Mytilus edulis: one gene and its partners. Each later gene encodes a partner of the first gene's protein in a complex. Links are inferred from orthologs where the notes say so. Each region holds a gene or a part of one and is shown in the gene's direction. Other genes may lie near its edges.

Region 1 (9,984 bases):
GAAAAAAAATATTGAAATAAAAAAGTATAATGCTAATACAAGCAAACAGTGTCAACTATCAGGACTTGTTCCAGTATCAGGATAGTCTAGATCCCACTTTTATAAAGTTGTTACAACATATTCCTAGATACATCTGCATGTATGGCAGTCACAGCTTTCACCACATATTTTGTGTTAACAAGAGTGCACAAGCTGAAATATCTCACCTGCTTCACCATTCATGATTGATTAAATGTTGATATTCCTAAAGGTTTAAGTTTTACTACAAAGACCAGAAAACAAGAGTGCACACGCTGAAATGTCTTGCATTCTTTACTAATCATTGATATTATGTTGATAGACCTAAATATAAAGCTTTATTACAACTGTCACATAAACTCATTGACAACATTAACCAAAGAAAAGAAACATTGATCAATGAACCATGAAAATGAGGTCAAGGTCAGATGAACCATGCCAGGCAGACATGTACAGCTAACAATTCTTCAATACAACAAATATAGTTGACTTATTGCTTACAAATTAAGAAAAACAGACCAAAACACAAAAACTTAACGCTTAGCAATGGACCGTGAAAATGAGGTCAAGGTCAAATCAAACCTGTGTAACAGACATATAGGCCGTGTTCACATTGACCTAAATTCGGTGTTGTGTTAGTGTAACTCACACGTAAACTAAACACAATTGCGTTCCCATTGATAAAACTCAATGTTTACATGCAGTTTAAATCATGTTTTATCTACATGCAGTCGATAGTCAATGTAGTCCTTGTGTAGGTTAAGTGTACACAAAACTAGGCATTTAGGACATTAGTTTTACCGTGTATATATTTAAGGAGGAATCTATTTTTGAGTAAAATTGATATTTTTGATAATTATAAGTATAGTTCTCTACACCAATTGTTGTCTAAATTTTACAGATTTTTTTTGTTCAAAAAATTTAACGTACTTTATTAACCCCTGATCAAGACTCAAAGCAGCATCATTGCCGAACCCATAAGGCAGCAACCAATTGAATTTCGGGGGGGGGGGGGGGGGGGGCTATTATAGTTGAGTATAAAAAATAAAGGCAAGGGGGTGGAGGTGGTGAGCTATGGATTTTGTTTTGGAAACAAAATATGTTTCCAGTTTTTGGCCCTGAAAAAAATTTGTTTGTTTCACCCTCAGCTGCCACTATATATAATGCTAAAATTGATTTCGACTTGTCACCAAAATTTGTCCTGAAAAAAATCAATAGCCGACGCCCCCTACCCCCCCACCCCTCCCCCCCGCGCTCCCCCTCCCCCTCCCCAAAAAATATAGTAAATAGTTGCTGCCTAATTCATTTGAAAAGGTCTTCCAGAATCATGACTAAAAAAAGTGTGAGGTAAATGATAGGTTTGTCTAGTATCTCAGATCCGTTAAATAACACTTAAAATAAATTAAAAAAAACGTTACCCTATTCCTTTACCAAATACTCATTGGAGAAGAAATACCATTTGAAACAAACAGAAAAGATAACCAGATGCTCCGCAGGGCGTAGCTTTATACGACCGCAGAGGTTGAACCCTGAACGGTTGGGGCAAGTATGGACACAACATTCAAGCTGGATTCAGCTCTAAATTTGGATTGTGATTAAATAGTTGACACAGCATAGGTTTCTGACACAGAATGAATGTGTTCTAATGAACTTAAAATTTTTGTTTTCTCTTAGAGCAATTCACTATGCTGTTGAATATTAATCCTCTCAAAAAAATGTTTGAAGAAATTTTCTTTTTATTTATGAAATTTCAAATGAGAAAAATTGAACCCAATTTTTTTAATCACATCCCCCTTTCCCTTATTCCAAAACTAATCTCAATTAAAATTTCTAATGGAGTTTGCAACAATAACTACTCATTTAAATACATCATAAAATATTAAGATGTAAAAAAAATGCTTGTTATCACTGAATGGTAAAGATTATTTTAATTTATCAGTTGGTAGTAAAAAGTGAACATGCATTGTATATTGTATATAACAAAGATTTAAGTTGATTCTGGACAAAGAAAGATAACTCCAATTAAAAAAAAATCTTGCTATTGCACAATATTTTGCAATTAGATATTTCTTGCTTACTATTCTGGACAAAGAAAGATAACTCTAATTAAAAAAAAATATTGCTATTTCACAATATTGTGCAATTAGATATTTCTTGCCATTGTGCAATACTTTGCAATTGAAAAGACTTGCTATTGCACAATACTTAATATAATAATTTTAGATCCTGATTTGGACCAACTTGAAAAATGGGCCCATAATCAAAAATCTAAGTACATGTTTGGATTCAGCATATCAAAGAACCCCAAGATTTCAATTTTTGTTAAAATCAAACTAAGTTTAATTTTGGACCCTTTGGACTTTAATGTAGACCAATTTGAAAACAGGACCAAAAATGAAGAATCTACATACACAGTTAGATTTGGCATATCAAAGAACCCCATTTATTCAATTTTTGATGAAATCAAACAAAGTTTAATTTTGGACCCTGATTTGGACCAACTTGAAAACTGGGCCAATAATCAAGAATCTAAGTACATTTTTAGATTCAGCATATCAAAGAACCCAACCAATTCATTTTTTGTCAAAATCAAACTAAGTTTAATTTTGAACCCTTTGGACCTTAATGTAGACCAATAAGAAAACGGGACCAAAAGTTAAGAATCTACATACACAGTTAGATTCGGCATATCAAAGAACCCCGATTATTCAATTTTGATGAAATCAAACAAAGTTTAATTTTGGACCCTTTGGGCCCCTTATTCCTAAACTGTTGGGACCAAAACTCCCAAAATCAATACCAACCTTCCTTTTATGGTCATAAACCTTGTGTTTAAATTTCATATTTACTTATACTAACGTTATGGTGCGAAAACCAAGAAAAATGCTTATTTGGGTCCCTTTTTGGCCCCTAATTCCTAAACTGTTGGGACCTTAACTCCCAAAATCAATACCAACCTTCCTTTTGTGGTCATAAACATTGTGTTTAAATTTCATTCATTTCTTTTTACTTAAACTAAAGTTATTGTGCGAAAACCAAGAATAATGCTTATTTGGGCCCTTTTTTGGCCCTTAATTCCTAAACTGTTGAAACCAAAACTCCCAAAATCAATCCCAACCTTTCTTTTGTGGTCATAAACCTTGTGTCAAAATTTCATAGATTTCTATTAACATAAACTAAAGTTATAGTGCGAAAACCAAGAAAATGCTTATTTGGGCCCTTTTTGGCCCCTAATTCCTAAAATGTTGGGACCAAAACTCCCAAAATCAATACCAACCTTCCTTTTGTGGTCATAAACCTTGTGTTAAAATTTCATAGATTTCTATTAACTTTTACTAAAGTTAGAGTGCGAAAACTAAAAGTATTCGGACGCCGCCGACGACGACGACGACGACGCCAACGTGATAGCAATATACGACGAAAAATTTTTCAAATTTTGCGGTCGTATAAAAATGTAGTTATCCCTAATATCTCAATCCTTTTTTTCGGCTGTAAGCACGCTGCTGTAGCTAACGTTTTCTAATGCGTAATTGAGACATCTCTAGTATATTCAAACTACTGCAAATTATAAAAATGGCTTTCATAAAGTAGCAACCACTTAACTTAAAACTAGAGGCTCTAAAGAGCCTGTGTCGCTCACCTTGGTCTATGTGAATATTAAACAATGGACACAGATGGATTCATGACAAAATTGTGTTTTGGTGATGGTGATGTGTTTGTAGATCTTACTTTACTAAACATTCTTGCTGCTTACAATTATCTCTATCTATAATAGTACTTTCTGTGGAAAATGTTATTGAAAATCTTCAAATTTTAAGAAAATTGTTAAAAATTGACTATGAAGGGCAATAACTCCTTAGGGGGTCAATTGACTATTTTGGTCATACTGACTTATTTTTAGTTCTTACTTTGCTGTACATTATTGCTGTTTACAGTTTATCTCTATCTATAATAATATTCAAGATAATAACAAAAAAACAGCAAAATTTCCTCAAAATTACCAATTCAGGGGCAGCAACCTTACAACCGATTATCCGATTCATCTGAAAATTCCAGGGCAGATAGATCGTGACCTGTTCAACAATTTTACTTCCTGTCAGATTTGCTCTTAATGCTTTGGTTTTTGAGTTATAAGCCAAAAACTGCATTTTACACCCATGTTCTATTTTTAGCCATGGCGGCCATCTTGGTTTGTTGGCCGAGTTACCGGACACATTTTTTAAACTAGATACCCCAATGATGATTATGGCTAAGTTTGGTTAAATTTGGCCCAGTAGTTTCAGAGGAGAAGATTTTTCTAAAAGATTACTAAGATATAAATCCTTTTCAAAAGAAAAACTATATAAAAGCTTAGTTTGGACATTTTTATAGCAATTAAAAATAAAAAGGATTTTATATTTTTATGAATCATATATCATTTAAAATAATTCATCATATATTCAGTAAAATATGTGTGAAATAACAATATGCTATTGATAAGTTTCCTTGTCGAGATAACCTAAAATACTATTCTTTTGAATAAAGATTTTTTGAAACCAAAAAAGATTATCTCCCCTTCCTACAAACATATTGCAATTTCACAAATATTTTACTGAATATGAAATGTTTTTATTCACATAATGTGTGATTCTTATGAATATAGAATACTTTTCGAAAGAAAAACTATATAAAAGCTTAGTTTGGACATTTTTATAGCAATTAAAAATAAAACAGTTCACCTTTAGTATGGTAATGGCTATAATATATATATACAGATTGATAGACTGATTTAGTAATACCATCAATAAAGTGGAGTTAAAGTCTTATAGGATTGTAAGTATATTTTATTTTATCACCTTGCACTTTCACATTTTGACTGAACAATTTGTTCAATACTCTGACCAGTTGAACAATTTGATTTTATAAAACAAATTGCAATTTGGTCAAAATTTTTAATGAGTTGCAATTGGTAGATAGCAACACTAACAGTCAAGTCACTGTAAAATGTGTGAACAAGATAAGTTTAGTTTCATTTTGAAAAGTAATGATACGGACATTAGTACTGTAAGTGTAGCTGGAATAAGCGATATGTATGATTTGAACATTCATTTAAAGCAAACATAATGTTGTTAAGAGCTTTTATAGTATTAAAGCTGATTGTAATAGCTTGAATTAATAATATTGTATGAATAACACCTCCACGCAATGTAAATATAAAATATGTATCTCTTATCATGATCATTGAGAAAATATGTATGTTTTTTTGTTTGTTTGTTTATTTTTGTATTTGTAAATGTCGGCTGGTATTATTTCTGTCTAGGAATTTACACCAATATTTGATTTTATTTTATTTACATGAGAGACATGGGCAGTTGTCCAGTCATCTGCCAGACTGGAACAATACCAGTTATAGGCTGACTTCTCAGCAAAGCGGATGATGGAATGTTATCTGGTTCTGCTGATTTGTTCGGATTTAAGTTATGCAAAAGTTTTTGTATAACTTGATTTTTATGAATAATTTTTATAAGGACAAGGATAGTAAACTATACAAATCCTTGACATAAAGGATGTATATACAGCCATCGCAAACGAGAGATACGGTAAAGACGGTAAACAATCTTTCATCATTATTTTCTTTGGCCCATTTACTTTATCGCAATAATTATTATTTTCTTTGGCCTATTTTCTTTCTCACAATAATCATAATATGATAATGCATGTTTTTAGAGACATATACATATATAAAAATGTCTCTGCTTTTTTAAAATAAAATACACGATTAAGAACCATTTCTATCAAAGGGTCGAGTTGTATAGGTCGATATTGTAAAGTGCCGATAGAACGTGAATTCATCTGGGTTCCTTATACAAAATACTCACTACCGTCTGTTTGAAGTGAAGCATCGGGATTTTATCAGGATACCAGTTTACAGCCACTATGGCATCTGGGGGCATGGCGGTAAATTCAGGTGAATTTTACTATTTAATTACGGGAAAAGGTTAAGATCTTCTTTGGCTCATATTGTTATTGGCTAGAGCGCTGCTTTTAGATCCCGTGTTTGAGGGTTGGATTCCCACTGGCACCATCCATAGATTTACACAACACCTGTCAAAGTGTCATGCAATATATTTTAAGTTCCTCCTCATTCAGTCCCAGAAAGAAGAAATATTATGGATAATTTATAATAATCCACTGGAACAAATATTACAGTATAAAATTGTTCCTTTAATACGGAATAAAGTTTATGGATATGGCATTATTTACAACAAAGTTTCCAGAACATATATTTTATGTTAACAAATCGAAATTATATGATTTTGTCTGACATGTTTCCTATAAAAATAACAAAAGCTAAAATGTGAAAAATTATTTATGAAATTTCGTATTATAACATTCAAACAATTTCTCATTTGTCCTATATGAAAGAAATCACAAGTACATAATCAGGGGTTAAAAAATCCGCTAGCCCGACACCCGGGACTAGAGCATTTACGCATCAGGCAATCAAAATGTGTAACCCAATATGCCCGACGGACTAGTATCACAAATTTTTTGACGTTTCCAAAATAAAAAGGAAGAAAGTTGAAAATCCTTTCATCACTATTCTATCTTAGCCAATCAGATTCAATTACAAATGTACGTCATCCGAATTCCAAGAATTTGAACTGGTTTGTACACTCGTGGTTTTGTACATATTTCTTTTAAATAGAACAAATAACTCTGGGTGGTCCGGTATCATGTATAAATATTGATTTCTCATACCCTGCCTGTGGTATTGTATATTTATTTGATTGCTTAATGCTAATGGTGAGATTTTTCAATTAACCGTATTGGGGGTATGGAGAATTGATCATTTTGGCACGGACGGCTGTTGAGCTTGAAACCATGCAACAAAATATATCTAAATATTTTAGTACAGGCACCCAAGGAACTTCGTCAATTTCAAAACGAAAAACTGTAGATGAAGAGGGTAATTCGAGGCTGAAAATTCATCCCCCAAATATGCCAAATACGACCGAGAAAAGCAGGGGGAAAAAAATACAGATTGATTCCCCTGGGCAAGGTCGGCTGTTGCTGATGAAAAAACCCCAGAGACGATGCTCTGTGAAAATTGTCGTTATTTCCCCAAGCACGCCAATAAAAAGCCTGCTTTGTATGTGGGAACAACTAAGTTAGGTTAGGCCATAAAAAAGAATAGATTTGTTTGCCCAAACCCTACCTACCCAGAAAAAAGCTGCCTACTCAAATTCTTTTATTGTCCTGATTTGAAGAAGTTTTTTTTTAATCAGATAGGCATGAAGACTAATAAATATCCGATACGTAAATTTCTTTAAAAAAAAAAAAAAAAAAAGAAAATGCCTACCTACCTACCCACTGTCTCAACCTTGGGTAGGGTTTGGGCAAACCAAAATATTTTTAATTGTGGCCTTAAGCACCAACAGAATAAATAGCAGATCAACAAAGAATATTAAATACAGTGTATAATATCGCCTTCAAAACAGTGACACCCACTGTGTTGTATTATGAAGCAAAATCTAATTTTTAAGGCATACTCGGACTAGCCAGTCAGTTTTGATGAACAAGCAGTTCTTCCAACAGGGCTAGTAAAATACGGCTGCCTATAAGTTCTGGGCTAGTTAGCTGTAACAAAATTTTTTAACCCCTGCATAACAAGAACTATTTAGTATAAATAATCTAGTCTTCACCTTGTATTACTGTACACCTAATCGCTATTTGTCTGCCATTACTGACATAAAACAGATTCCTGTAACATTTTGACATCATAATACAAAATATCTGACGCCACAATGGAAAAGTGATTGTTGTATGACGTCTATAGTACAAGTGGGACAGATTCTCAGGTCAGCCGGGGATAGTGATAAGGTGTAATTACATGTACATGTATAAGTGCATAATTTCATTCTTAAGGCAGTGTCTGAGAAACCCTCCAAGCATTGACGAGTTGCCAAATTGGCCTGTGTAGGCTAAACACATCCACATTAAGTTTTATTATAGTAAAATGTCATTGCATCAGGGTTAAAGTGTGAAATATACACAGAAATTATCAGTGATTTTCCGGTTTTGTGAATGCAGTGAAGAGAAGGGCAACTTATAATTTATTAGTTCAATCTAAATTTAAAACAAATATTGCAAATGTTGTATATCTGTATGTTGAATCCGTACTTTCTGGAACTGTTGTATTGTCTTAACCATGATTGTTGTGATGATTACATGTATCAGCCTCTTTTGGCATCTGAATCCAAAGTAAAAGGAACGTAAATTGAAAGCTCTTCCTTTTTACTAAAGGAATAAAACTATACTGTCTGTGTTAAAGAAAACATGATAAAGTTAAAATAAAATGTAAATGCACATTTAAAGAATAAATTTATACTGAATTTGCCTTTAAAAAAATGCTATGTGAGACAATTATTCTAGTAAAATAGGAAACAGAAATCTAAACTATAAAATATCTTCTTTTCTCTAAAGTCACAATATACCAGTTGCGAGGTCATGGAGGTACAGTGGTTAGTTGAATCTAGGTGACTATGTCTGAATATTGATCACAAGCTGAGACCTATTATAATAAAGAATTAAAATTCCATAACAACTGTCTTTGTTATTTAATTACTTTTCAGCTACATGTAAGACAATTGTCAATTCTGATTTAAAATAAGATTAAAACTAGATTTAATCTATGTAGAATTCTCTACTAATACACATGCTTTGTTTACTACTTTATGCACATGCATGAAATTTCAGATTGGACACTTAAATCATAAATTCAAAATGATTTCATGCTAAATAAAACAAAGTGCAACTATTATCATTAATATTCATACTATCAAAGGTAAACAATTAAAAAGCTGATGATTTCCTGTACATTTAATAAACAAAACTAATCCCAGAAATGAGTCAAGAATTACTTGCTTTATTATTGTTGCAAAACTTCCAGTTCAAAAGCAGAAAAAACGTTAGCAATGTCTGAGAAATTTATCATGTTGAGTCTTTCAAATCATTTCATTTTCAAATTGTTGCCTTCCTGCTCTTGAACGACGAAAATTCATGAAGTAAATGCAGTTAAAACTAGTTTGTTGATGCTATGAGCTTGATGAGTATAAAAATACTCAGTAATGTGATTTTGACAAATTTTTTTTTGAAAAAGGGCACCAACTTCAAAATGACCGAAATTACATGTAGGTGAAAAAATGTCAGAATCCTTTGGTATTATAAAAGCCCAAAATGCCACTGTAAACAATGTCAATATGCAAGATTTGTGACTTTTGATTAGGGCAAGTGAGTTAAGTCATTGAGGTTGGATGGGACTAATAAGATGTTTCTTGCCACTTGTCTGAATGGACACTTGTGTTGGAATGGACAAGTTAGAAAAAATGATACTGTAAAGCCAGTGAAAACATTTTTTTTATGGACTTGATAAAATATAAATATAATTTAGAAAAACACATTTCACATTTATATAGGCTCCTTTCCTTTGATAAACAGTTCTCTTTATCTTATTGATTATAAATTTAAAAGCAATATATTCTTGCAGAGGCCCAGCTATGGGGACCATATAAAGAACTGGAGAGAACAGTTGATGCAGCAGTTCGAAGGAAGCAGGTGGATGCAGTGCACGACCTTGAAGTTGCATTGAAGAGACATAAACCTGATTTTATTTCTCTCCTTAAAAATCCAGTATGTACATGTATATTATTAAGAAGATGTGGTTTGAGTTCCAAAGAGACAACTCTCCATCCAAGTCACAATGTATTAAAAAATTAACAATTTATAGTTCAAAGTACAGTATAAACCTCCACAAGGAGCCTTGGCTCACACTAACAGCAATCGGTAAAGGGCACCAAAATGACCAGTGAAAAACAATTCAAACAGGAAAAACTAACACATCAACAGTCTAATTTTAGTATATAAAAAATGAGAAATGAGAAACGCCTATGAACATGAACACAACAACAAACAACAACCACTGAA
Region 2 (11,089 bases), on another chromosome or scaffold:
ATAAACTGTTATAGCAAAAATGTTAAGCAAAGTAAGATCTACAAATAAGTCAATTTGACCAAAATTGTCAATTGACCTCTTAAGGAGTTATTGCCCTTTAAAGACTTTTTTCACAATTTGTTCATCATGTTGACTTACTTTAAAAATTCTTCTCCTTTGAAACTGCTGTATCAATTTCAGCCAAACTTAGGCTAAATGAGTTTTAGAGTTTCAGAGTATCTAGTATAAATTTTATATTTCATTTCCTTGTATGTCAAGAAACATAGCTCCAATGGCTAAAATAGAACATAGGAGAAAATGAATTTTTTTTTGCTTTTGAAGAAAATAGGACGATTCAAAGAACATTTAAATAAATTGAAAAGCCAAAATAATCATTGATGAGAGATTAAACCAAAAAAATTCAGGTGAGCGATTCAGGCTCTTGAGAGCCTCTTGTTTGTATACAGATTTATAGTTCGTGATATAAAGTATTCGTCCCATGCTCAGATTAACGAAAAGTTGTTTCTATGCGAAGAAACAAGTGTTTGAATTACCCGATGTGCAGCCATTAATATTTTGATCAGTAATGTCACAGAGATTTCAGGTATTTGTCCACCAAACAGCAGCGAAACAACAGTGAAAAATACAATTACCCAACAGACAAACTTACTAGTGTAAAGTTAGCCGTCGATAATAGCCGGTGCTAATATATTCATGGGGTTCAGCAACTTTTGTATAGCTGGTAGCTATAGATAGTTAAAGAAAAATTAGGATCCTATGAATTTTGTGTTCGTAAAAAGGCGAAGACTTATAGAGTTTGTTAAGGATCTGACGAAATAATTTACTAAACTTTCTACAAAATTTATTTTATGATATTGTACCCTCTTTTGTGATTAAAAAGTAATTTAAATCGAGGAAAAGAATGTGTTTATTTCTTTGTCTTAAACAACAAGAAATATTTATCAATCGGGGCCAATTATAGCCGATTATACGGTATGGGTATTTCTCATTGTTGAAAGCATTACAGATGCCTATCACTACTTACATCCACTTCATTTGAGCTTAAATGGACAATCATACCATAAGAGAATCAAATTTGAACTATTCTACATATTACAAAGGAGGAAACATAAAGGCTCGGGATACCTGACGAGGATAAGCCTAGGTCTACATGACCATAACCGAAACACCCCTTTTTTTAGTATACACACAACAATACTACTATACAATCATGCAATTGTGAATTTCTAGAAAAATATGGAAATAAATGCAGAAGAATGTATTCCATAAGCGGAAATATTTATCATACACTGAGTTTACCAGATCTTAGTTACTCTAAATGTATGCACATAGGAAATTGATTTAAAAACGAAGGATTATGATAAGATATACTGGATTGGTCTTGGACCCGATTGATTTTAACTGAGTTTACCAGCTCTTAATTACTCTAAATGTATGCACATAGGAAATTGATTTAAAAACGAAGGATTATGATAAGATATACTGGATTGGTCCTGGACCCGATTGATTTTAACAGTATCCCATAAGAGAAATCAAATTTAAACTATTCTACATATTACAAAGGAGGAAACAAATAGGCTAGGGATACCTAATGAGGATAAGCCTAGGTCAACATGACCATAACCGAAACACCTTTTTTTTAATACAGACACAAAAATTATTATACTACAAACATGCAATTGTGAATTTCTAGAAAAATACGGAAATAAATGCTGAAGGTGTCACACCTGTGAAATTTTTAATATAAGTCGCATAATGCTCAGATAGGCTGTTTTTAACTACAAATTGACTAAGGATTAAGAATAAAGCAAAATAAAAGATTTCTAATCAACTTTTTTGTCTCTTTAGGTGTCACACCACCAATTACTCCCTCAAATTTAGTAGGCCTACTCGAACAAAAAATAGTGCATTTGATGTCATTGTTTACTTAAACTACCCAACAAATTTGCAGAAAGGAAACTTTTGGTGAAAGAGAAATATATCTAGACCATTTTGAGCCAAAATTTACTTGTCTATGAGTTTGCATTAAAAATTGAGGATTAATGCGCTCCATAGTATACTAATTTAAGATTTCAAGAAAACCAGGGGTTATTTTTAGTGGTACATCAGTTCGAAAGGTCTCTTCTTTCTTATATGGCTTTAAAGGTATGTTGAAAATTGGCATGACAAAAGGTGATGCCTGGTTTGTAAGAGGTTAAACTTAAGATAAAAAATTTAGAAAGCTATGAAAATTGCAAAATTTGGTTGAACAGATACTTAGGGACTTTTAATTGGTGGTCTGACACCTTTAAGCAAAATGCGGTGAAACATCAAAATCAGAAAACAATTGGTTTTTTTGTGTGTCTTAACTGATCAATTGAGATAATAGTAGCCACATTTCAATCTTTTTGGGAGCAAAATGTCACATATTGCAAATTTAGAGCCTAAAACTTGAGTTTGTGCTATTTTTAGCTTTTCCCACCACAATATGCTTTTATATAAAAAATGCCCTAAATAATGTTATAAATGCACAGAAAGTTATTTTGTGGTGTTAAACATTGAAACATAGGTTGTTTACTACCCCCAAACAAATTTTGTCATGCAGATTTAATGAAATTATTTGATTTTTACCCCTTATATCATTGCGTCATAATATGTACTTGGCAGATAGCATAGCCTAATGTAAACGCTGCAGAAACTCACAAAAGTACCATTTATTATTCCAAATGAAATTTTTATATCTTAAATTTTATCAACTGATGTAAATAAACACAGTTAAATGACCATGGCTGCACTTTTGATCAATTTGTAGCCCATGCAAATAAATTAGACATAAATAAAATACAGGATATAAACTATAAACAAGAAAAGAGTTCATTCTCAAAAAATATTAAAAAAGAACTAAAAGATAGCTTTGAAAATATTTTCTTTGAAAAATTAAAATTAACTAATGAAACCAGTAAAATATTCGTGTAGTCGTAAAATAAAAAGAAAATATGAAATAGACAAATACAAATACATTTCTAAAAATAGTTTTGAAAATAGAAAATTATTATGTAAAATGCGAGTAAGTGACCATTTCTTGGAAATAGAGAGGGGTAGATATAAAAGAATTCAAAGAGAAAATAGAATATGTAAACATTGTAATATAAATGCGGTTGAAGATGAAACCCACTTTTTCTTAAAATGTATACACGAAGATGCTCAAGTGATAACACCATACTATGCTGAATGAGTATGTGTAAATGCTAACAATGTAAGCATCAATAAAGATATATTCTTGGACTTCTTTATCATGTTCTGTATAACCATTTAGATTCTACCACCTTTATCTACACTCCGTCCGTATTGTGGTATTTGGCTGCATATTCCAATTTTTGTTTGTCATGCAATTTAAATGCGAGTAAGTGACCATTTCTTGGAAATAGAGAGGGGTAGATATAAAAGAATTCAAAGAGAAAATAGAATATGTAAACATTGTAATATAAATTAATAAATTAATAAATCTTTACGTAATCAGCTTGAAAAAGATATAAATAATATATGTCCAGAATTCTTTTAATTGTCTGGAACAGATAGATTACAATTAATTCTATCTTCATTTGATATTATGCAACTTACTGTTCCGTTCATTAAAAAGTCATTTGCACTGAGGGGAGTGGACACGACGCCTGCATAAATATTACTGTTTTACCACTTTATATATGATGTTTAATATGTTCATTTTTCCATTGTGTATATTGTATTGTATTGTTTGTATGTATGCCTTCAATCCCCAGGGGTATAAATGTGCATTTCATGAATAAATAAAATAAAAAAAATACAAAATACAAATATTTTTATTGGCACAAACTCATTAACAATAAATGGTTAAGACCTATGGCATTACATATATATGTCGTGTACAAGTTGCGATTTTGTACAGGTTATAACATGTACAAAAATATTGTACATGTTATAACTTGTATAATGCAAAAATACAAGTTATAACATGTACAAAAGTACCTCGTACATGTTATAACCTGTACAAAATATTGCTTAAAAATGGTTTTAACTTGTACAAAATCGAAAAATAAGGATATATTCTATTATCGCAACAGATGTTATTAACCTCAATAATATTTTCATAACGTTTTTATTATTCCTTCATGTTAGTGTGTTTTGTCCTTTTTTGATACAGTTAATGTCCAGTGGTCGGTATTACGAAGCATTCCTAAGACTTGTCATAAGATATATCTTAGGACATGTCTTATGATCCTCTTATGACTATCTATGGACATATCTTAGGACATGTCTTATGATCCTCTTATGACTATCTATGGACATATCTTAGGACATGTTATAACCTGTACAAAATCGCAACTTGTACACGACATATATACAACTATACTGAATAATTGACATGGTAGAATGAAAGGTTCCATGATAACATATCATGCTAAATTATGAAAAGTTACAAAATGATGTATCATATAAGTTCACTATTTCTTATATTTAGACACTCTGATATGAAAGAGGAAGACAGTCTAAGTAATAATGCTGAGCTATTATTGACCAAAAGAGATATTTTTTCATCAGCGGTAATGTTACGCTGTATTTGAAATATAACATTTATTTTATTTTCAAATATTTCTCGCTTTGAGGTATATCTATTACATTATCATAAGAAATGTTGTTCATCCTCAATTTCCCCATTTTTACAGACAGGACAGTGTCTTTCCTCTCTAGGAACATTTAAAAGATGTCTTCCCCTTTCAATCATTAAAGGATGTGCACTTATGCGTATTTTGCATATTGCTGCTCTATCATTTAAATTGTTTAGTGAATCAACATATGATGGTCTTTGACCCATTTTGTAGACTTGACGAAAGAAACTGAGCTTAGAAGACTCCTGTGTGTTTGCATTTTGATTTTGCAAGCACTGATCATAAATTCTCTGTTTTACTTGTCCCAAGTGCTGCTTTGTTAGACAACTTTTTTTCAACAAGATATGAATATCCTAATTTTTGTAAAATGCACTGAGTTTTTAGGATCCAGGGGTTTGAAAATCTTGTTGCACAGAAAATTTGATTTACAAGTGTATTTTCTGATGAAAGTATATGCTCTAGAAAATTTATGCTTGAAAAAACAATTTTATTTTTGAGTGGAATTCTACCAAGCTCAGCACGACAAGCATCATTTGAAGCCTTGCAATGAACACCAAGTGCTTCTTTAATAAATTTAATGTGTAATTTTTCAAAGGGATCAGAGCCATTAATGATGAGTTAACACCCCAAATTTCAGAACAGTACATCAGTATAGGTGAATACCGTGATATTAATGTATCGAACAATTTTTCAAGTAGTCTACATGGATTATTCAGACCCACAGTTTTCTTAATTTTGAAATAGGCCTTTCTTGCCTTTTCCATAAGAGTATTATTTATGGCTAAATTGAAATTACCATTACATTTTATTACAATACCTCAGGGAGCTACCATTTGATTTTTATGGGGGGGGGGGGGGGGGGCTAGGATCTGAGACTACTATAACAGTTAGTCTCAGCTAGGATGAAATTTGAAAAAAATAGGCAGGACAGGAGTTTTAAGTAAAAAAAAAAGGCAGGATGAGACAATTGCAAAAAAAAAAGTCAGGACAACAATTTAGGTAAAAAAAAGGTCAGGATAAACTAAAAAAAAAAAGGCAGGACCGAACTGAGTGAAAAATAAAAAGGCAGGACAGAGATTACAGCTAAAAAAAATGCAGGACAAAATTTTTCATCCTAGCCCCCCCCCCCCCCCTAAAAATCAAATGGTAGCTCCCTAAATAAGAATAATGACTTTAACAGTTTCAATACAAGAATCATTGTAAGTAAATTCGTCCAAAAATGTTTTACCATTTGAATTAAATACAATGACTTATCTGTAGTTTCTGTAGTTTCTGTAGTTTCCAACAATCACAATAATCATATAAAGCATTAAGACTATTTTGTAGTCCTTTTTTACTTTGAGACAATAAAACAATATCATCTGCATATAAAAGAAGAATATTTAAAGAAACATAAAGGGGGCCCGGGGGGGGGGGGGGGGTGCTGCTGACTAACCTAAGGGGGTCCCGCTCCAGTCATGCTTCAGTGAATCGTCCTATATAATCAGACCCCCGCCTATGGGTGTTAGTCCATTAACAATTTCATAGGTTAGAATTTATGTGTTGTTTATTTGACTTATCAATCAAAATAAAGTTTTCTTAATATCTGATCTTAAAGCTGAGAAATTGAAAATGTTATGTTGAATATTATATAGCTAGTGATTTTGAATCGGTGATCTGACACCTACATAGTAAGTAAGTAAGTAAGTATTTTATATTGGTTTGAAATCCAAAATTATGCCTAAGCCTAACTTCTAATGGCCTAACTCGCGGGAAATTGAGAAAGCGAAATTGAACTCATAAAGACATTCCCGTCCAGCAAACGCAAAGGTCAACGACTGTAGCCAACGTACACACCACGGGGAATACATTTATATTTTTTATTTTTTATATTTTCAAACTAAGTATATATAGACATATAGACTTATCGAAAACCCTATTCTTTACGAAGTGCTCCTGTGAAGGAGGGATTTCCTAATACAGATACAGAATCGCCCTATTGGGGCGAAATGAATCTTAGTGCGAACGACAATCGGGGCGAAGTCACCTGAATACGGATGATAAAAGAATGGCGGAAAGCATGAGTGGATGTACATACCGGGAAATTTCAATTTCATCTAGTGTGGGAACAAGATGGAAAGAAATAAACGTCAACACAGGTATGTAGTTGACGTATTGCAAACGGGATTGTCTTTTACACTAGTTGCCATTTCATGCATTTAGAACGGCTTCTTTTTATATCACCTGGCATAGATCTAACATTTATTTTCGCTTTACTTCTTCTACCGGTTACACTGGGGTAAAGCTGATGACCGTCCTTCTTCTTCTTTATATACAGAAAAACATCAACTGGTTGATGATTACTTTCCGGCGCATGCCTGGTTTAACAATATTGTTAATGATTAAAATATATATTTTTGGTTTCTTATAATTTTTCAATTTTTATGATACAAATGTATATGTAACTGTAAGTAATATTTTTCAATTTTTATTTTTAATTTTTGGTATAAGATAAAAACAAGATACATATTATACATGTAGGTGTTTGTAAGTGTCAAGGAGCATCTCTCTAGTGAGTTTCTCCTTGAAGCACTCAGTAGTGGTGCTGCAGGCTATTGGTTCTGGTAATTTGTTCCAGTCTTTTATAGTTTGGCAGAAAAATGAAAATTTGTAACTGTCTTTGCTGCATCGAATTTGTCGGTATGTTTGTTCGTGGCTAGACCTGGTGTTTGATTGGCTTTTAATTAATATGTCAGTATATGTGGTATGGCAATTTTGTTGTTTGTTATTCTATGGAACATATTTAATCTGCTTTTGAGTCTCCTTTCTTGTAATGTTGGCCAGTGGAGTGTGTTAATCATGTTTGTTACACTTTCAGTATATTTGTAGTTTGAGCATACATATCTCGCTGCACGTCTTTGAACTTTTTCTATGGAGTTAATGTTCTCTGTTGTGTAGGGGTCCCAGACAGTGCAGCAGTATTCAAGTTTTGGTCTAATAAGGGCTTGTATGCTCGGTCTTTGATGGTTACTGAGTTTATTTTAAGTTTCTTCTGGTGAATCCAAGGGTCTTATTTGCTTTAGATGTCATGTTCTGAATGTGTTTGTTCCATTTTAAATTTGATGAAATAGTTATACCTAAATATTTTGCATTTTCAACTGACTCAAGAATGTGACCGTGCATGTTGTAATAAAAATGGATAGGTGTTTTCTTTGTGGTCACTCTAAGTATGTTGCATTTATCAGGATGGAACTGCATTAGCCAGTCTTGTTCCCATTTGATTGCTCCTTCTAGGTCTTCCTGGAGTTTAGGCAATCTGATGGTGATTTTATCTGTCGGTAAATGATGCTATCGTCAGCAAAGAGCCTGATTTGACTATGATGTAAGTAGTCAGGTAAGTCATTGATATATATCAAAAATAGTATTGGACCTAATACAGTGCCCTGAGGAACACCTGATGTAACTGGTATGTTATCAGAGGAATGGTTTTCTAGCATAATTGTTTGTGTACGGTTTGAAAGGAAAGATTTTATCCAGTTTGCGGCTTGATCTGATACACCGAAAAATTTAAGTTTATATAGTAAACGGTTGTGTGGAACTTTGTCAAAGGCTTTTGCGAAATCCATGATGATAAGATCGGTTTGTATATTTTTGTCGTTATTTGAACATAGTTGGTGAATTAGTGATATTATTTGGGATTCGCATGATCTATTTGCCCTGAAGCCGTGTTGCAAGTCATAAAGTATGTTGTTGGATTCAAGGTGTTTCATAATGTTGCTTGCAATTATGTTGCTCTAGTAATTTGCATGAAATACATGTAAGTGAAATTGGACGATAGTTACCAGGATGATGTTTGTCTCCTTTTTTGAAACAGGTGTTACATTTGCGTGGTTCCAATCGTGAGGTACTTTTCCTGTTTGCATTGATTTTGTAAAAATTAGAGTGAGTATGTCTGTGCATGTGTTGATGTTTTCTTTAAGCACTTTTCAGTGATGTTATCAGGTCCTGTTGCCTTTTTTGGGTTTATATTTTTAATTAATTTATAGATGCCTTCTCTGTTGATGTCTATGTCGTCCATTATTGGATGTGTTGATGGACCTTTGTCAGGGATAACTGTATTGGTCTCAGATGTAAAAGCTGATTTAAATTGTTCATTTAATATGTTAGCTTTTTTCAAGGGATCTGTATGAAGTAGACCTTCACTCCTAAGAGGTGCAATACCAGTGTTTTCATTGTTTTGGCCTTTTATGTATGAAAAGAGTTTTTTAGGTTTGTTTGTTAAATCTCGAATTTTCAGGCTCTTGTATTTCAATGTCAAAAATCATGTTTTCGATATAATTCCAATAGGCATTTCTCATCTCTTTCTGTAATTGTGTTTTAATTTGTTTAAATTTTTTAGTATGTTTGCTATCATGTTTTTTCTTTTTATAAAATTTGTTTTTCTTATTTATCAGTTTTTTCAATTTTGAGTCTATCCATGGTAGGTGGGTTTTATTTCCTATTAGCTTAGTTGGTATATGCTTTTGGATACTTTCTGTTGTTTTTGTTTTAAAGAAATTCCACATATTGTCTATATCAAGTTCTAATTTGTGTTTTTCCATATGTGTGTATGTTTCTTTTAAGTCTTTTCCAATTTTTTCCCAGTCTGCTTTCTTGTAAATCAATACTTTGTGTGGTGACTGTTTGGCTTTCGAAAGGGAAAGATTTATTTCACTGAAGATAATGTCATGGTCACCTAGTGGTGGTAATGTTTCTACTCTGTTTAGTAGGGATGGATTTGACATGCACAGTAGATCAAGTGTGCGTTCATTTCTTGTTGGTTTGTCAACTACCTGTGTGAGATTGTGATCTTGTAATATATCTAAAAGGTGTTGATGAAGAGAAGGATCTGGTTTGCTAGGTATTACTGATGAATTTGACCAGTCAATATTGCCTAAATTGAAATCGCCACTGAGCATGATATTTGCACTGGATATGTTGCATATCCTATTTAGTGAGGTACCTAGATGTTCTAGTGATTCCCCTTTGTCTGATGGTGGTCTATAATATGCTCCAAGATAGGTGGTTTTATTTCCCGTTGGAGTTATTTTTGCCCATATTAATTCGCAATCTGTGTCTAATTCAGGCACATGTGATGTAATAAGTGTGTTTGTGATTGCGAGTAGCACACCTCCATAGCCATCTTTCCTGTTTTTGGTGTAGATGGTGTATTTGGATGGAGAAATGTATTCATATGCTGATGTGTCATTTGAAAGCCAGGTTTCAGTACCAAATATAACATCAGGTTTGCATGAGTCTATCATCTCATCAATTTCTGGCTTTTTGTTTTTCATTGATTGAAAATTAATAGTGAGTACACGGAGAGGTGGAACTGCATTCACGGTCATCCCAAGATGTCGGATGAAAAATTAGGTCAGTTTCTGTATTGTCTGTTAAAGTGTTTCTATATCCTTTTCTTTACAAATCATACATTGAAACGATGTAAATTAATAAAAGAATCACTTGAAAATCACTAATTACTTCCCAGAAATGTGCATGAAACGGGAAATTCGATTTGAAAAAATCGTTAAGATGACCGTAAATCATAATCAAAATATTTTCAAGATGACCGTAACATAAAACAAGGATGACCGTGATTGGTAAAAAGATGACCGTAACTTGTAAAGGATGACCGTTATTTGTAAAGACTGACTGTAATTTATATAGGACGACCGTAACTTTTATAGGATGACCATCAATTCTAAGAAATATCCGTATTGTATTCAAAGCTTTTTTGTTGAGTTTGTCGATCTCAATAGGGGCTCGGTTAGCGGATATAAATATGTTTCATAAATTTCTTTTTTTAAACTGTAATATAATTGGCCATATTTAGGATTTATAACAATGATTAAGTAAATTGCATATTTCTCGTAAACAATGAAATATTTATTGATATCGACGTTAAAATTTTAACACAAATTTACAGCGATACGACGAAAATTTGAAGAAACATGAATGTGTCCCTAGTACACGGATGCCTCATCTACACTATCATTTTCTATGTTTAGTGGACTATGAAAATGAGATAAAACTGTAATTTGGCATTAGAATTAAAAAGATCATTCCATAGGGAAAATGTGTACTAAGTTTCAATTTTATTTAACTTGAAGCTGGACAAACGGACAAACAAACAGACGAACGGACGAACGTACGCACAGACCAGAAAAACATAATGCCAATAAATGGAGCATTAAAAACATTAATAATACATACGAATATTTGGTAATCGAGCCCATGTGTATGGGTCCAGAGGAAGCAGATTAAAATCTTTATTTGTCTTGATATATGCAGGCGGAAACACTTTTGAAATAGAACAAAAGAATCGAAGCTCTGTGTTTATCGAGAAAGCGATAAAAGTTAACTGTAATGTTTGATATAGTAACAAAATTTTAAAAAGTTAATAGAAACAAATAAAACGACAATTTTCTTATTTTAAAAACACCATT
Region 3 (10,347 bases), on another chromosome or scaffold:
TGAGTCTTATGACAACGAATTTATGAGTGACGGTCGACAAAAGAAGACATAAAGGCCACACCCAGCAGACAGGTTGCAGTCTTGGCTTGAAAAAAGTATTCAATATATCAGTTCGGCGAAACAGACATTCCAGTCAGACATGCAAACCTCGGCCCCAAAAAAAATATGCCCGGTTTTTATTCATTATCTTCATTTAATGCAAAATAATTCTGATGGAAATTTCGTTTTTAATACCAAAAAAGTGGACAAGATTATTGTTTTCAATCCAGATACGGCCAGAATTTTTGTTCAAGGCAAAAATCAGAGTCAGATTTTTTTCTCTCAAATATCTCAGACTGCCTCCTCAAATCAAATGGTTCATACTTCAGACTAGGGTGAAACATGTTTTCGTAGGTAAACAATATTGCTGTGGAACTTTTTTTCTTGAGAGGGTAATAGAGTATTACTTTCTGTTTGGTGTAATAGTGAAATAGAAGTCAATACGTTCTTTCTCAATCTTGTGTCACTTTGAAGGTTTCATGATTGTCATCCTCAGCTTAAGCAATTTGTAACTGTAATTTGATTTCAAAATGACAGAGTGACAGTTTTTTAACGCACTGGTCAACTCCATAGCGAATCACATTTTACTTTGACATAATCAGTTAATACCAGCAAAAAATATTTTATACGTAAAGAATTGTCGCATAAAAATTAAATACCGTCGAGGGCTACCGCGGTAGGTACGTGACCGGCCAGTACACAGGAAAAAAAAGTCCAAGCAAAGGGGGGGGGGGGGGCGTATGCCCTCTACACCCCCCTCTGGATCCGCCACTGCTATATCTAAGAAATATACTTAAATAAGAGCCCAATGAACCATGAAAATGAGGTCAAAGTCAGATACCAGACAGACATGCACACCTTGCGCAACTTTCTATACCCCAAAATAAGTCTACCAAATTCTTATTAAATATACAAGAAACAGAGATTTTGCTGTATCAAATGTATCATAATATTTTTCAGAATACATTTTTGTTACTCATACATTTATCTTATACTTAGAATACTAAAAGTTATTATTTAAAATAAAAAATAATTTTTACACAGAACAATTATATGTTAGTTTACCTTGGTAGCGACTGCAGATACAGCTGCTGTTCTCATAGCAGTAATAACTTCACCATCAACTATCTGTATTTAAACAACATTGAGGATCAGACATATGGTACCACAATGATGTTTTTTTGGAAAATGTTTACAACTAAACTTAATTTTGCACTATGAATTAACCATGGTGCATCATCTCCTAACTTACTTATAATGTATTTTAATGACACTATGGTACTTTACTCAACTGACCTCAATACAATAATGACATCTCTTCTTTTGTGTAATGCCTTTTTTAGTTGAGGTAAAATCTGTGATTTACAAATTGAATAGGAGAATTATCATTTTCATAAATTAATCAAAACCAGCACGAGAATGTACCATTTCCTTTGCTCCCCAGTAAAAGCTGAATTGATAAAAGATTTCTTGCATATTTTTTTACCAGCTTCTGATAGTAGTACATTACTATCATTAAAAAAGTTACATAAATGAATTTATTTTGTTTTTAATACCTACAACTTCAGGTACTCCATTTGACGCATTAAACATGGCAATAACTGCATTGTGAGTGGGGACATCCTTGTTGTTTGGATAAAATGATACCAGTTTAGTAGCAAGAACATTGTCTTCAGAGCATAAAGATGGCATCAAACCAAAAAATCTGTGAAAAAAAAAATTTAAGTTATAAACATTTGATATATAAGAAACAAGAGTATGTTGTAGAGCATAATGAATAGGACACAATGTCATGCTCATAAATGATATTGTATCATTTCCATGTTCAGTGAACCATGAAATATGGGTCAAAATCCTAATCTGGCATATATTTTGTAAAGTCCACATCATAATGAAATGTATACATATACACATTCATGGATCTACAATCTGTCGATAACTGTATCTCGGCATTGCACAAGGTCATGTTTTTCTCTGACTGTTTATGACATCTTTACACTAAATCCATTGGATGTTGGATGTGACAGATTGGTAATTTAGTCTAAGATGCATGATTTTTTTATTAGTTGTTAGTGGCTTTGAACTAGCTGTCAGATAAATGCAAGTACTCTCAGATCTGTTCCTAGTATCTTTATGTTGTTGGGATATACATGTACCCGTCCACGTCCACTTGTATTTGTATTTTTGTCCATCTGATGAGTTAAGCCTTTTTTAACTGATTTTTATAGTTCGTTCTTATGTTGCACTGTTATACCACTGTTCCAGGTTAGGGGGAGGGTTGGGATCCCGCTAACATGTTTAACCCCGCCACATTATGCCTGTCTCAAGTCACGAGCCTGTAATTCAGTGGTTGTCGTTTGTTTATGTGTAACATATTTGTTTTTCGTTCATTTTTTTTATATAAATAAGGCCGTTAGTTTTCTCGTTTGAATTGTTTTACATTCTCATTTCAGGGCCTTTTATAGCTGACTATGCAGTATGGACTTTGCTCATTGTTGAAGGCTGTACAGTGACCTATAGTTTTTAATTTCTGTGTCATTTTGGTCTCTTGTGGACAGTTGTCTCATTGGCAATCATACCACATCTTCTTTTTTATATGGTATACTAAGTTTCAAATTTATCTGACTACATCTTCATGGTACTTAAAATCAAAACTATAACCTTGTATGGGATTATAATAATTCTTGCAATACAGCATCATTTTTTTCCAACCACTTGCTCAACATGGGAATGGAAGTGATGATGCCCTTAAACCCATAAATGATGTTCACTAAAACCCAAGTTTTTGACAAAAATGCATCAAACTCCAAAGTTGTCCATTATCAGATATGGTGGTACCATAGATTTTTTGAAAAATTAATTAAATGCATACCTGTAAGACTCTTGACCTTTTACCTAAAGATCAGTGGGTTCTTTTTATTCACCTGAAAAGGCAAAAATCTGATTTTGGTTTATAAGATTTTGTCCTGAAACCAAATTTCCCCAAAATGCATTCTTTTTTCATTAGACCTTACCCATGAGTCTCAACAATGAAATTAACCACCATCAAAATATCTGGACAATTTCACTTTGAAAGGCAACACATGGAAAAGACCCTAATTTTTTTTTTGTCAGTATCAAAAAGCCCCTTTTCTTTTTTGTCAGTATCTAAAAGACCCTTCTGGGGTTTTTTTTTTGTCAGTACAACATGTACATGTATCTCAATGAGATACTGACAAAAAAAACCAAAAGGGTCTTTTCTTTCCAAGGGAAATTGTCCAGATAATCTGATGATGGTTAATTATACTGTTGAGTATAATTCTATCAATTGCTGCTGTTTCCTTGAACTTTGACATAATGACTTAAAAATCAAAATGCAGTGGTTCATCTCATCATTTCAAATTTGGTAAAAGTTGGACACACAGTTCTGATATTGTCAATTTTGAAAACAAATTTTTATCAAAATATCAGTGTACCAATAGCAGTTGAAGCAGTTGTGCAGTCAGGGGTTCTACTTGTACAAGTAATTTTTCAAAATTTTGCTTTGAACTAGCTGTCAGTTAACTGTGAGTACTCTCAGATATGTACCTACTGTCTATGTTGTTTGGATGTACAAGTACCTGGCCACGTCCACTTGTATTTAGTAAAAAATCTGAATTTCAAATGACATAACTAAGCCAAAAAGTTATTTACCTATACAAGTAAATAAAATACACTTGTATAAGTATCCTACAAATTTACTTATAAACAAATAAATTAATATCACTGTGTCAAGTAAATAAAAATTACTTTTACCCCTGACTGAAGGGGAAGGACCTTTACCAGGACTCCGTGATCTGGTGTTTTTAAGATCAGGATTTCGGGATTGATACTTTCGGGATTCAAGAATTCTTTTTTCGAATTTTGGGATGTCAGGATTTAAATTTCTTTAAACTTGGGACCTCAGGATTTCATGTTTTTAAATTTGGGATTAAGGGATCAGGACCCCTCCGACCCCCCCTCCTGACTATTGTGACTTTGATTCTAAAGTCAAACGGAATCTTTTTCATCCCATTAGGAAACCAAATCTTTGAACATTTGAACTCAATTTTTTTCTTGGTAGGAAGAAACTTGGTTTTTTTATTTTTTTTATATCTATAAATGTATTATATAGGATGGTGACTGCATTTAAGGTTCATCATAACCTTTTGGCTAAAATGGCCGTATTTACACCCCAAATTTTACTCTGAGTACAGACTAACCTATACACCTGCAACAGTTTTAAGGGATGGCAGATATATAGATATATAAATTTTAAATGCATTTTATGTTTCAGAAAATTATAAACTTTTCTAGATTTTGCTATCCATTTTTTTTCGTTCCTGCAGAAGGTGCAAAAATTAACTAAGTAGTGAAAACGATTGAGAAGCTCCCCTCATATAATCAATGTTGTGAGTAGTATTGATTTAAATGGACAATAGATGGACAATAGACACCTGTAAACAATAGGTTATTTAACAGGTTTAATTGTGTAACTGAGTGGACCGTATCAAAAGAAACTCAGGTGTTTGTTTATTTTGCTATCTTCTGCAGACTGGAAAAAAATGAACATCAAAATCCAGGTAAATTTTTAATTTTCTGAAACGTAGACTTCATATAACTTTTATATATCTAGTTCCTGCCATGCCTTAAAACTTTCCTGGATGTACCAGTTTGTCTGTACTCATAGTAATTTTGGAGGTGTAAACACAGCCATATTTTTCAATTCCTTATGATGAACCTTAAATGATTTACCTCATCTGACCACTATATACTATACAAGCCCCTATGATTGATTGATTGTTGGTTGCTTAACGTCCAGTGGCAAATATTTCATGCATATTCAGGACGAGAACAAGTTCACAATAAATACAATAGGTAGGTTGTTGTAAGAGAGGCCATCTAGGATGATGGTCGGGGAAATTTGGACTGCCACTGGAAAATTAGGGTATATTGGATAGGGACAGAAATTTTGCTTTGCAACAGGCCACCTACGGACCCCTCAAAGAGTTGTTGCAAGGGTTCTTAACGTGCAAAGAGCGTGGCACTCTCTTTACAGGAGGCATCGGATATAACGTCCCCTTCTGACGGACGTGACTGCGAACTTGATACATCCCGCACAGCCAAACGGAGGCTCCACTTCAGCAACCGTTTTACTGCCGGTCGGGAGAAGACCAAGTGACCATATTTCTATACCCCAGTCACCCTTGGGGTTACAAGCCCCTATGAAGTGAGTGCATGTGTGTATGTTTTTTATGGATTGTAATTCATTTTTTCTTTGGGAATGGTTAATTTTCTGGTAGTAAGTCATGTGACAGCCAGGCTTAAAAATTCTATTGATATGTGCTAATACAGTGTGACAAATGTTCTTCTTTCCATCATAACTCATGATGGTGCTCCTCAGGGAGGAGGGTTGTAAATAAGTATATAGTGTGCATACATACCCACCAGATTCCTTGACAGGAATAACAGATCTTACAGGTTGAACAACTTTTTTGTCTGAAAATTTGGCAAGAGCTTTTTCCATTTGTGGAATAAGCAATTCAAATGTAAGAACATTTTTCACTTGGGAAGCAGATATAAATTTCATAAGTTCCATTCTGAATTTTGACCTCAAGTTCTAGTATGGGTACTTGACTCCGATCTCAATAGTTTGGTGTTTTGTAAAATAACTAAAAACTGGTTGTTTTTTTTTTAGATATGTACAACAAAAAACCAGTTTCTAAATCATAATTTTATTAAATATTGCATACAAAAGTTTTTTTTTTAATGTAAAGTTAAAAGGAAACATAGCATCAGATCCAGAATATTTATTTTAGAATGCCCCTTATTAAAGGGAAATAACCAAAATGGCCGAGCGGGAAAAAGTCTATTGCCAGGTTTTCATTTTAATAATTTAATCACTTCAATTCAATTGTTACATCAAACAGAATTTTCAACAAGTTTCGGCTTCAATGTTTCTTTCAAATGTTGTTATTTGTTCATTTAATCACGTCTTTTTCTGAACCTTTTACCACTTTTCATAAAAAGATTTTGACCCTCTCAAGAAATCTTAAAACAAATATTTTTCTATTTACGTACTCTTTGGATCAGCTTCCATCTTGCTGAAATATATAGAATATGAAGTTTATACAAACAACTGATACATATGAATAAATCTTTTTTCCTAAACAGTCGAATAAAAACACAGTTTGCGTCATAAAAACATTATAATTTACATGTTTGCAAAGTCAGTTATTTTTTTTCCTAGTATGGGAAAGACTGGTGTCATAATTGGTAATATTTGGGAGTTGAAAGATCATGTATTTTTGTCAGGGATCTCCATAGATGAAAATTAAACGATGGAGGAACTACTGTGTCTATGTTGTACAGTGAAGGGCGATCGAAACTATTTAATCCCTCCACCTAAGGATTGGTGAACAGGCTAATTCATTGCTTATTTAATTATATTTATTTGAATTTTCATTATAAATAGAAGTATAAATACTTTTAATAATTGCCGTTTTTAACCATTCAAAAGCCAAGCCTTCATGGTCTGTAACTGGATTATTAATTGATTTATTTAATCTAAATTATCATAAGCATTTGCGGAAACTTAGTTGAATAATTCGACAAATGAATCGTCTATCTTCAGATAGTATTCTCCTGTCTGGTTTGTTGATCTACCTGTACAAGTGATTAGCGATCTTATCCGGATATCCCTCAGGCGTCAGAACTGTATTGAATTATAATATAAGCCTGAGGTTTATGCAATTACATGCATTTGATTATAATTGCTAAAAACAATGCTGTCGGGCTATAAAAACGATAACAGTTTTGAACGATAGCAAAAGACAATTTAACGATGGCGCAGGTCATTTGACGATGGCGCGAGACATTTGAACGATGGCGGGGCGCCATCGTTAAACAGGCCATGGAGATCCCTGTTGTCCTGAAAGGCAATTTTATTTTTTTGTATGTTGCCTTGCCACCTCGAATAATTCTGTAATGTATGCTCCTGTTCCAAGTCAGGAATCTGTATTCAGTGAGAGTGGTGACTGGACAGTCTGCGCCAAAAACTTTTACATCTTCTAGTCCTGAATCTAAATATCAAAACTTGTCCTTTTATGACGATATAAAATATTGAAAATTTTCACTAGTCCGATACAGGAAGTGTATTCACTATTGACATTTGTTTTGAATTTTAGGATTAATTTATTATTATTGAACAAAAAGTCATTTGAACACAGTGTGCTGTGAAACACAAGGACACAAGACTTTCTTATTACATTTGGATTAGATAAACACATACATGTAGTACAACATGTACAATGTAAAAAAGAAAAACAGAAGAAATCAATCTTGAAATCAATTATTATATAGTTGTTCCATAGGAAGCAAATGTATGAGAGACATGAAAAACATATAATTAGATTTTTTTACTACAAAATGAATTCCCTATTATCCTTATTTCACATTGGCCTTTTACATCTTTGCTAAACATTATTGATTTTGTTCTGTGTTGAAGACCTTGGCTTGTATAATATATATGCATTAATTTTGTTGTTAATGATTATACTTTTTGTTCATTTTCAGACAATATATGACCCAGCATGTACTGCAGGGCTACAGTCTACATGGGGATTTGGGAACCAGCTTTTTGTATTTCCTGGAAGAAAACCCACCTTGTATCCAGGTATTTGTTACATGTACTTGTATTATAGATTAAATATCACATTAATTAATCTTCATATGTTTTCTTTGCTTTAACCTTTTTCTTTGATTTTTTTCTCTTAGACAGTTTTTTTTCTGGTCAACAGATCGATAGGAGTTTTTCATGAGACCATATATGGACATAATAATTTGTATGAAATTTGTTCACAATGTGTATCTTAACCTTTTATAAATTGTGACTTGGATGGAATGTTGTCTCATTTTAACACTCTTACCACATCTTCCTATAATATCTATTATGTATTTTTGTCATAATGTGTAAATGTATTCTTGTCATTATGTGTATTGTATATTCTTGTCACTGAAATGTTTGTATTATTTTCTGTTGTAGAAAATCAGTTACACTGTAGAAGATTACAAGAGATCAGGGAAGTGAGATGGGATATAGATTTATATCATCCAGTCATGAGAAAGCTTGTAAATGAATCTCATAGTAAGTAGATCTATCTTAATCAAGAGAAAGTTTTGAATCTCATATAGTGAGTTGTTGGAATACAAATCAACACAAATCATGAAACAGTTTTTCATTGACTAACATAGTGAGTTATTGGATCTTATATTCTTAATGGCATCCATTTAAAAAAACTGTCAATCCCTGAACAAAATTGTCTGTTTAATATGCATAAGTCTAGAAAAAAAGATATAAAAGCATAAATTATTCATTTTGTATTGAACAGATATAATGAAGAAAAAAAAATTGAAACTTTTGACGGCTGCCTACTAAGTCAAATCTAAGTCATGATTACAAGCTTAAGCATATACCTGAAAACGAAAAATAATGATTATGCATAGTTTTTCCATTGACAAGATTTAAGTTATTTCCCTTTTAAGCCATACTAGTGGGGCAATGTGTAAAAATTCTTGTAAATCAACCAAATTCAATTTGTAATACAGACTGTTGTGTCCAGAATCAATTTCATTTATTTATTTATTGTACCCTGCTAAATTCATAACCACAATCTAGTATTAAAGTATCTTTCTGTAAGTCTGAATAAACAGTGAATAAGTTATTTACCAATAATTTTTTTTAAAGATGTCCAAAGCTCCAATTTCATACTACATTGGAACACATTTTGATACAAAAAGTATGTAAAACGAGAAATTTCTGACAAAATTAAAAAAAAACCAACATATTTGATAGCTGACTGTATACACTTAAATGTGTTATTTTTCTATTTTAGATATTTTTGTCATGCTACAGAAACATGCAGCAGAAAAGGCTGTTGGAGGAAGTATACATCCATTGTAAGTGTCTGAACATTTAAGGAGGTTTCGAGGGTACAAACAAATTCAGCAAAAATTGAAACATTTTTTTCATTACAAATTTATTTATTACACTATTAGTTGTTACTTTATGCAAGGATTTGTATAGTAAGAAGGATTGGAATCTCGCGGTTTATCGTAATCTCTTCCGCGGCGAGACTTCGGTACTCGCCACTATTACTACTACTACTACTCGTCACTTACGATATCAGAACGTGATTTTTTGTACACATGCATCGAGTTGTGTTCTTATTTTTGTCATGTATAGACAATGTTGTAATGGTTAAGGACTTTATTCATTCTTAAACGTAATAATTATTGATTTTCACTCAAGTTTCAATTGACGAAAAAGCATAATTTAACTGTTTTATTTGATGGACATTGTAATGCAATGTGAATAACGGCAGTTGACAATGTGTTTGTATGTTAACTTCTGTATTTTTTTTTATCTTCAGTCAATTGTCAAAGAAATTTAAAAAAATCTTATTCTTGTAAATTATGTCATTATAGTTATATGCGAATTTGCATCTTCGGAAACTCTTTCAAAAACTTTCAATCTCGGGAAACAGGTGCAAAACATTTTTTTGTGGCAAAAAAGAACTGACAACACATTTCAGAACGAATTACTGCATTGCGTTTTATATACATAGTGGCTAGTCATTATCATAAGTTTGGAACACGTACTGTTACAGAGGGAGCCCACTGGACTAAACCCTATAAAACTGACTCTGCATGTTACTGTAGCAGGTTTCAATCATCATAAACATATATAGGCATAAAAGAAACGTTAGCCAGTGTGTTATAAATTATCAATGCAAGCAAAAAAATTTAATTGTACTGATAACATGACATCTTTAAATGTACTTTTGTTTCTTATCAGAGCACTTTCATCAATTTGTGCATGAATTTGATAGGGCAATTTTATAGTGTCAGCTCTCTGTCATACATGTCATACATGTATAACGGCCTCTCAAGTAGTCAGTCATGGAATTATTCCTGGTTATGTATTATTCACGTATAATACAGAAATTAACATGAAAAGAGCGACGTGTCATATATCAAAGAAGACTATCTTTTTCTGATTGTACATTGGTACACTTTCATATGAGGTACGCAACAGCAGTTTACATCAAGTATTAAAACAAAAGTAATACTTTTCTGTTTGTAATTTCATGCTTGGTAGGTCTAAACTGTAGTGTATATAGATATTTGTCAATAAATGTCTTTGTACGTCATGTAAACATAACTAAAATGTTTCTTGTCTAACAGAAGATACTTTTTGTACAATTTTGCCTTGTATTGACTTTATAGCGCACAGTTACTAATATGCATGTA

What was found.
Region 2: nuclear pore complex protein Nup205-like (region 1) and nuclear pore complex protein Nup160-like share a complex: the UniProt entries of both Drosophila melanogaster proteins name them as parts of the nuclear pore complex. The link is inferred for Mytilus edulis from reciprocal best matches to the Drosophila melanogaster genes Nup205 and Nup160.
Region 3: nuclear pore complex protein Nup205-like (region 1) and nuclear pore complex protein Nup85-like share a complex: the UniProt entries of both Drosophila melanogaster proteins name them as parts of the nuclear pore complex. The link is inferred for Mytilus edulis from reciprocal best matches to the Drosophila melanogaster genes Nup205 and Nup75.

The regions. Positions count from the first base shown.
Region 1 is NC_092353.1:65,264,741-65,274,724, forward strand, and holds the start of nuclear pore complex protein Nup205-like, read left to right. Parts: upstream 1-5,810; 5' UTR 5,811-5,934; coding exon 5,935-5,965; intron 5,966-9,547; coding exon 9,548-9,690; intron 9,691-9,984. UniProt on the Drosophila melanogaster protein: Plays a role in the nuclear pore complex (NPC) assembly and maintenance, but with limited role in NPC permeability. Required for specific nuclear import pathways such as Mad import.
Region 2 is NC_092350.1:78,082,522-78,093,610, reverse strand, and holds the start of nuclear pore complex protein Nup160-like, read left to right. Parts: upstream 1-6,569; 5' UTR 6,570-6,672; coding exon 6,673-6,763; intron 6,764-11,089. UniProt on the Drosophila melanogaster protein: Functions as a component of the nuclear pore complex (NPC). Involved in poly(A)+ RNA transport. Required for nuclear import of Mad. May play a role in double strand break DNA repair. Essential for nephrocyte development.
Region 3 is NC_092352.1:40,182,198-40,192,544, reverse strand, and holds the start of nuclear pore complex protein Nup85-like, read left to right. Parts: upstream 1-5,827; 5' UTR 5,828-5,885; coding exon 5,886-5,915; intron 5,916-5,975; exon of another isoform or gene 5,976-5,990; coding exon of another isoform or gene 5,991-6,005; intron 6,006-7,611; coding exon 7,612-7,711; intron 7,712-8,080; coding exon 8,081-8,182; intron 8,183-8,930; coding exon 8,931-8,994; intron 8,995-10,347. Other genes in the region: ketimine reductase mu-crystallin-like, read right to left, coding at 1,105-1,167, 1,600-1,744, 5,481-5,635. UniProt on the Drosophila melanogaster protein: Component of the nuclear pore complex (NPC) that seems to be required for NPC assembly and maintenance. Required for nuclear import of phosphorylated Mad via importin msk.